2 linked regions of the Rhinolophus ferrumequinum genome follow. The protein of the gene in region 1 purifies or fractionates together with the protein of each later gene. This does not show direct contact. Links are inferred from orthologs where the notes say so. Each region holds a gene or a part of one and is shown on either strand. Other genes may lie near its edges.

Evidence for each region.
Region 2: the proteins of STYK1 (region 1) and TMEM259 purify together in Homo sapiens (affinity purification with mass spectrometry; 3 studies listed by BioGRID and IntAct, with this or other methods). This does not show direct contact. The link is inferred for Rhinolophus ferrumequinum from reciprocal best matches to the Homo sapiens genes STYK1 and TMEM259.

What each region holds. Positions count from the first base shown.
Region 1 is NC_046293.1:26,268,296-26,272,208, reverse strand, and holds the start of STYK1 (tyrosine-protein kinase STYK1), read left to right. Parts: upstream 1-1,135; 5' UTR 1,136-1,477; intron 1,478-2,865; exon of another isoform or gene 2,866-3,200; intron 3,201-3,913. UniProt on the Homo sapiens protein: Probable tyrosine protein-kinase, which has strong transforming capabilities on a variety of cell lines. When overexpressed, it can also induce tumor cell invasion as well as metastasis in distant organs.
Region 2 is NC_046301.1:61,946,043-61,949,955, forward strand, and holds the start of TMEM259 (membralin), read left to right. Parts: upstream 1-1,274; 5' UTR 1,275-1,398; coding exon 1,399-1,629; intron 1,630-3,913. UniProt on the Homo sapiens protein: May have a role in the ERAD pathway required for clearance of misfolded proteins in the endoplasmic reticulum (ER). Promotes survival of motor neurons, probably by protecting against ER stress.

The sequences.
Region 1 (3,913 bases):
CTCCTTCTGTATTCTCTGTCACCCTCAGCCAGTTTTCTTCTTTTGATGTCTCTGCTTTCAAATGGTTCTGCCTTCCTACCTTTCTTGCTTTCCATTTTCTCATTATAAACTAATTAAAGCTTAATTCAGCCATACCTATCTGGTCCAGCTATGTGACTACTTCCCAACCTGGGAGACAGCTGAAGAAGGGAGGGAGGAAGAGAGAGACTGGTGATATACATTGATTGTCTGGAATTGTCCTGGCACTGTACTAGGTGTTTTACATAAATTATCCCATATGACTTTCAACAGTCTTGGAAGGTAGATATTCCAGCCTCTACATTACAGATGGAAAAACAGAGGTTCAGAAAGTTAGAATTACTTACAGTCATGATGAATGGTAGAAGTGAGATTCAAATAGAAGCCCAACTCCAAAGCTCCTCCTCTTATCACTAACCCCTAGGAAATTATAGGCAGGGTAGAGATAGAAACAAAAACTTGTGAGTTTCTGGGTCTGCCACGATCCAGGTAGGGAGATGAAGGTCCAAGGGAGCCTTCAGAATTTGAGAATGGTGAGGTGGAATAACTGGTTGAGGGGACTTGCCACATGGCCTGCTGCTTTTCTGGTATGACTCATTTCCTGCTGTTCTCTGCTGTTTTTCACTGTCCTCAGGAAACGAACAGGTATCCTGGTCCCTAAACTAGGAAGAGAAGGAATGGCATGGTCAGGTGATAGGCTCCAGGTAACCTGATGAATTACCTACCAAACCATAACTAGAACTTCAAAGCCTGACTCTGTTAAGCACCAGGTCAGTGCTGAAGCCACTTTCTCCAGCTCACAGGCTGCCGGGCTCTGAAGCCCTCACCCACTGCTCAGGGGGAGTCTGCTACTTGCTCGTGGCTGTGCAGTGTTCCCAGAGGTGTCTTTTTCATCTTACCAGGCATTTGTTTTTGTTTACCTGGGATTACATTTAAGTTTAGAATCTTTACAGTAACACACCCTGTATGACAGTACTGAGGTAAATAGCAGCTGCGTTGTTTTTCCTGATTGTGAAAGCTCCGCCCATTTGTCTCTGCCTGCCTGCGTAGGGCACTCATTATCAGAGAACGAAAACTGTGTGTGCCCATGCACGCGTGCCTGTGTGTGTGTGTGTGTGTGTGTGTGTGTGTGTGTGTATGTATGTATGTTCCTGAAATCTTTTGCAGACTGTCTTCCTTCTGTTCTCCTCAGCTGGGGAACCTTCTCCCTGCCAGAGGGCAGTGGGCTAGAATAGGCTGAAGGAGAGGCCAGAAAACAGAATTGATCTCCTCACTTATGGAAGTGCCAAAAGATTGTTAATGTACCAGAAGTCCCCTCTTAGAAGGAAAGCTCAGCTGGATGAGTTGGAAAGAGGGGCACTGATCCTTGGAAATACAGCGTGACTGACATCAGTGGGTACAAGGTGTTTGAAAGCAGCCGGGACAGCAGCCCACGCGGTGTCTTCTGGACTCTTATCAGGTAGGAGAAAGGAGACAGATGGATCAGAGGCAAACCCGCATTTAGAGTGGGGTGTCCTTTGGGTGTTCTTGGCTTTTCCCTCTTCTGGACTGGGGAAATTGTTGTTGATTGGTAATCCCAGGAAGAGAAAATCTAGAGCATAGAGAATATCTAATTTAAGACATGTTATTTCTGAGTCAGACAGAGAAAGACAAATACCATATAATTTCACTTATATGTGGAATCTGAAAAACAAAATAAACGAACAAACAAAACAGAAATAAACTCATAGATACAGAGAACTTTGTGGGGGTTGTCAGATGGAAAGGAGGATTGGGGTGATGGGTAAAAAAGGTGAAGGGATTAAGATGTACAAATTGCCAGTTATAAAAGTCACAGGGACGTAAAGTACAGCGTAGGGAATATAGTCAATAATATTGTAATAACTATGTATTGTATCAGATGGGTACTAGACTTACTGTAAGATCACTTTGTAAGTTATATAAATGTTGAATCACTATGTTGTACACCTGAGACTAATGTATTATAATATTGTATGTCAACTGTAATTAAAAAATTTTGAAAAACCACACACACAAAGAAAATAGACCTTCCCAGCCCCCAAAAAAGAAAAGCCATTGTTGACTTTTTGGGAGATCACTATTCGTTTGAGAATCTCATGAAAGCTGAAGAACATCTGCTTTAGAGTCATGATAATATACATTTGGGCTGCAAGTTAATGTGTCAGTAAAGGTTCCCTTGATGATAAAAATAAAGCAGCAAATAAAATTACCTAAAAAAACATATATTATTTCTGGGCTTTTGAGGTGTGATGTAGTAGATGAAGAATTAGGGAAGCAGGAATATGGGAAAATAGAATGATAATTATAATAAAAATAAAATGCCTTGAATTCGTATACCTCAAAGGAAATACAGTGTGTTCATCTATATGATCATATTCAAAATGCGATCTGCTTGTAGAGTTAGTGAGCACTGTGTTTCTTATCTACACTTAGGGGGCCTGTCTGTGTGCCATCACTCTGCTCCTCTATGGAGCAAACTTTTGGGGAGGAGCCAAGATACAAATTAGTCTTCCTCATCTCTGCCGAATATCACATCACGTGTGCTTCAGGAATTCCTGCAGACAGATAAAATTAAAAAGCAAGAAAAACTGATAATGCTCAGTCTTATTGTCAAAAGGTCTTTGTTGAAACAGTGTCAGGACTCCAGCCACCGTGGCAGAGCCTCTTTTCCAGCTGTTTCAAAGTGCCTTTCAGGCCCAGGGTCTCTAGGAAGGTGGGGGAGGGTGAATGAAGGTCAAAATGATCACAACCCCTCCACGTTAAAGAACAGGAGGACAAGCAATTCCCTCTGGGTGATCCCCTCGCTTTCTGCCTCATTCACACTAGGAGATATCACCCAGGATAAAGCAAGTTATCTACACAAGTCTGATTCTCTGGATTTAAAGAAGTTTCTCTCTTCAGTGGGAACCTTCCATTCACTTTTGTCTTCTCACAAGTTTGCTCCAGTAGAAAGGTGGAGCCTGAGGTGCTGTGGGATTCTCAGGCCAGTGCTCTGTCGTGTGGGAGTTCTGGTCTCTTCCTGATCCTCCCGCTCACAGTGAAAGATCACTAGTCCTGGAAACTAGGCCCTTTCCTTCCAAAAGCAAATAATAGAAATAGGATTGGGATCAGATCCAGGAAAATGAGCAAACAAAGAAAATGATCCAAGATTCCACAATCTGGTGAGTACTGGAAAAAATTTCTGATTCTACCCTTATTTTCAGAATACATTTAGAAGACAGACATGCAGACATCGTCTGTCCCACTATAAAACTTTAGATAACACATTTAAAGGCAGATGCTACTTATCTGTACTTTCCAATTTATGATATATTTGGTGGTGAAATTTGGTCTCAGCATTACGATTTTCATGATTCTTTTGGTTTCTGACATAAATCCTTCTCGACACTATTGGTCTTGTCCATTTGAGTGGTAAGTACATACACGCAATAAAGTAGTTTACGGAACATTCGGTTTGAAATTAAAAGACTGGAGTATGGAACCTTGCTCTGCCATTTACTTGTCTTTTTATAAAAACAAAAACAACAACAAAAAACCCTGGCCAATTCAGAACTTACTGTCTGAATCTCAGTGTCATCCTTGCACAATACCTGACACATGGTAGTTGTTCAGTATGTTTATTGGATCTGAAGACAGGAAGGACAGATCGTTTTCAGAATGTTGGAGATAAGTAGTTCTGGAATGTTCTAAATCTGCGAGGTTCTTTATCTTGCTTCTAACTTAACATGTTCATTCCATTAAATGAGTTTGCTTTGTTAAATAGCTCAAAATAAGGAGGAAGGGGGAGGAGGAGAGGGAAGACTGAGTGTTGAGCAAGGAGCCATACTCTCATTCTGGGGGCTCTACCTCCATATATTTTCTCCTCCTCACTTTA
Region 2 (3,913 bases), on another chromosome or scaffold:
CTCAGGCTCCTCGCCCCATGCCTCCTGTCTCCTCCTCCTCCTGCCCTTCCATGCTTCCACGTGGCCAACCCCAGCCTTGATTTGAAGAGTGTAGTGGAAGCACCTGGCATGTAGTAGGTGCGGCAGGCACACGTCCCAGCCTGGGGCAGCCAAGAGGAGGGCATGACTCTGGATCTGAGAACTACCTCAGGTCCCGAGCACTTTTCAGGGCCACTTGGTTGCTTCGCAAAGTCCTGTCCACTGTCGCCCTCCATGGGCCAAGATCTGGTGGGTGGCATGTGGCAGATGCGTCCTATGCGGCAGGGACAGGAGTCTGGGAGCAGGAGACAAGAAGTGATCCGTCTGATCAACCTGGCTCACAGAAGGAAAAAGCCATGTCAAACCTTAGAAATGAAATCGTTATTTTACCAGCAAAACTGGGTTTACTTGGGGATGGCACTCAAGTTACAATTCGAGAGAAGCCGGGAGAATAAACGGGAAGAGTGTTAATTGAACAGAGGAAAAGTAGGAAAAGTAGGAATGGTGGTTAGGAACAAAGATTTCATTGGAAGAAATCAGCGTTGTGGTGGTTTCCTGTGGCTCGGTGAGGAGAGACTGAGAATGAGGCGAAACGCGGCTCGGCAAACCACACTCCCCTCTCACGCAAGCGCATGCTCTACTAACTACCGGTCAACAGCCGGCGCTGCTGCTGGCTCGGGGACTGGCACCTCGCTAGAGGTCTGCCCAAGCGCCCGGCTCCGCAATGAGGGAAGAGGCGAGGCACGTCGACGCCCTATTGGGTCTAAGGGGTCCCTCCGATTTGGGCAATGGATCCTATGGGGCACCAAGGGTCTCCTGGCATCACAGGGTACTGCGTGGGGGCCCGCAGTGGCTTACAAAAGGGATACGTCTGCCGGAAGTCTTTCACGAGATATTTAAAGGCCATAAATAATATTATTTCATAGTTAGAGCGACTTTTCCATTCGGTGTGGCTTTCTAGAGTACCACGACAAGAACCATCTCCTACCGTCGCGCTTACTTAAGTGTCTTTGATCACGTAAAACGCTCAGATGTTGACTAACTTAACTGCCCGAAGCGCGCCCTCGCAGCCGCGGAGGATTGTGGGGGGCAATATGCAAAAGAGCTGGACCACCACACACGGTCCCGCCCCCAGGCGCGGCCAGGCTAGGGGGCGGGAGCCGCCTCCCTCCGGCCGCCGGCATCCCAGCGTTCCCCACCGGCGCAGGGGGACCGCTCTTGCCGGCGCAGCGACTCGCTGGCGTCAGCAGGCTGCGGAGGCGGAAGATGGCGGCGGCGGCCTGGCGGCCGTGAGTATCGCGGCGGCGGCGAGGGCGGCTGATGGCGGCCGGGAGGCGCCCTTGGGGACCCGCGGGCCATTAGAGCGCGACGCTGGGCGGCATGTCGGAGCACGCAGCGCCCGGGGCCCCGGGGCCTGGGCCCAACGGTGGTGGCGGTGGCGGCGGCCCGGCCCCCGCACGCGGGCCCCGCACCCCCAACCTCAACCCCAACCCACTCATCAACGTGCGCGACCGGCTCTTCCACGCTCTCTTCTTCAAGATGGCTGTGACCTACTCGCGGCTCTTCCCGCCCGCTTTCCGCCGTCTCTTCGAGTTCTTCGTGTTGCTCAAGGTGACCGCGGCTCCGACCCCTGACCCTTGACCCCAGCGGCCGGACCCTCTTCCTAGGCCTGCGACCTCTGACCCCGATACTGTCCAGGACAGCGAAACCCTCCCACCCAGAGGTCTAGATCCCGCCCCTTCCCTTGGGGATCCTCACCTTAAGCGTGCCACCCCAGCCCCTGATCCCCTATTTGAGACTTCACCCTGGGAAGGCCCAGTCTCACTGCTTGGGTGGCCCCTTAGCCTGACTCCAGGAACTCACTCCCAACTCCCCAGGTTGCACGCTACCTCTGGTGACCCACGTCGGTGAGGCCTGGAGCCTGGCTCTGACTTGTCCGGGACCTCCTCCTGTCCTGTGTCCCCTGACCATGCTCCCTGGGATCCTCACCCGGGGAGAACCCCCGCACTTCCCGGGCCTGTCCTGCCCCAGATTGCCAATCCTGGGCTTCCCCATTCCAGAGTCACTTTGACCCCCTCAGAACACACCCTGGGGCCACCCACCGGCACAGGAAGTACCACCTCCTTTCCCAAGTCTTTCTTCTGCTCCCCCTGTCTTCAATACTCACTTACTCCCCCACCAGTACCCCACTGCACCTTTACTTTCTCGGAACTTCATGGGGATATGTGACCTAGCTAAGGTCAACTTGCCAGGGTTAGTGGCAAAGTCACAGCAAGTGCTGCTACTCAGGAACCTCCTTCCCACCCTCCCTTGGGTGGCACAGAGGTTTCAGCCATGAGTGTGGCTTAGGAAGGACCTGCGTTGGCCTGGGTCCTTCCAAGAAGGGGCGTCACTCAGGTGTGGGTCCAGACAAGGAGCTGGCCAGACGAGTGCCAGGGTTCTGGGTTCCTGAGCAGAAGGGGCGCCCCAGTTTCTGACTGAAACTTCTGAGGAAAGGGAGAAGCAGCCGTTTAGTTTCCCGTCAGAGTGCTGCTGGGGAGGGACTGGGGTGTGGATACTGCCAGGCGAACTTCAGGTCTGTCTGCAGAAAGGGGGCTGATGCTGGCAGTAGAGGCGCTTGGGTTGGCAACCAGCCCCAGGGCCTAGAGAGCTGGGCAGAGAGGGCTGAGGAGAGCGGCTGCGGGGTCAGCCGTCTCGCTGCTTCCTGTCACCTCTGTGGGTCTCTGGTCCCCCTGGACTTCACAACTCTCACCACCAGCTTGGTGGTCCACAGACACCATGTTGGGGAGAAGGGCTGGGGTGCAGACTGGCCTGTGGGAGGCTCGTCTGGCCACACTGCTTCGCCCGGTAGCCTCCTCCCCTGGCAGAGGCCCCAGCTGTATTCTTGTTTCTGCATCTGTCTGCTGAGACCTGAATGCCTGGGGGCGACAATGTCTGTCTGCTGAGATCTCAGTGATACTGTAATTTCTGTCTTCCTGAGGCACTGGCTGCAAGTGAAGGAAACAGTTCACATTTGCCCAAAAGGGATCTTGGAGCTCATGAAATTGGGGAGCCTGTAGTGGGCTCCTACAGCTTCAGGCATGGCTGGATCCAGGCATGCAACAGTGCTCTCTGAGGCGGGGCTTCTCCCCATCTCTCTCAGGTCACAGCCACTGTGGTTGGGCCAACTTTGAGTGGGTGACTTTGCCCAGGCCACAGAACATACTCCAAAGGGGGACCAGGTGGTCCACCGCTGGTGTTGGTACCACCCTTCAGGGCTCATGGCAGGGCATGGAATGGTGGGCGGTCTGGTGGCCCCGCTAGTGGCTGTATGGCCATGCTCACCACCCCCCTGAGCACCAGTGTCCCCATCATAGGGCAGGGAGGAGCTTTGTGCTCTGGTCTGTGATCCAGGCTTTTCCAAGCTGTAGTTCTGGACCACACATTCAGCTAGTCCTGGAGAGTGGGAATTTGGTGTGGGAGCGTGTGGGCGTAGTCGGAGGCTGTGCTGGCCCAGCTGAGGGCTCACCCCAGTCTGGCTGAGCAGCCACTGGGGATGCTGGCTCCCTTACACCCATCTTTCCTGGGGAGGCAGGTGCCACATTGGGCCAGCTGGGCCCTTTCCCCAAGGGTGGGGCAGTGGATGGGATACACAGATGTGATGCCCTGGACTTGGCCTATTGTCTGGGAGGGTGACACTCAGCCATATGGGGCCCTATGAGAAATAAGACCATCAGATAGTGAGGTGGGCTCTTGAGGAGGAGGGTGTCCCTAAGTAGACCCACGTGGAGGGCCCTTTAGACATTCGTCTAGCCAGGTAGAAGGAGCTGTTGGTGACATAGGGCAGAGTCCTTGCTTGGCAGTTCTAACATCAGGATGCTGGTTCTCTGTGGGGGGCCATCCTGCACACTGTGGG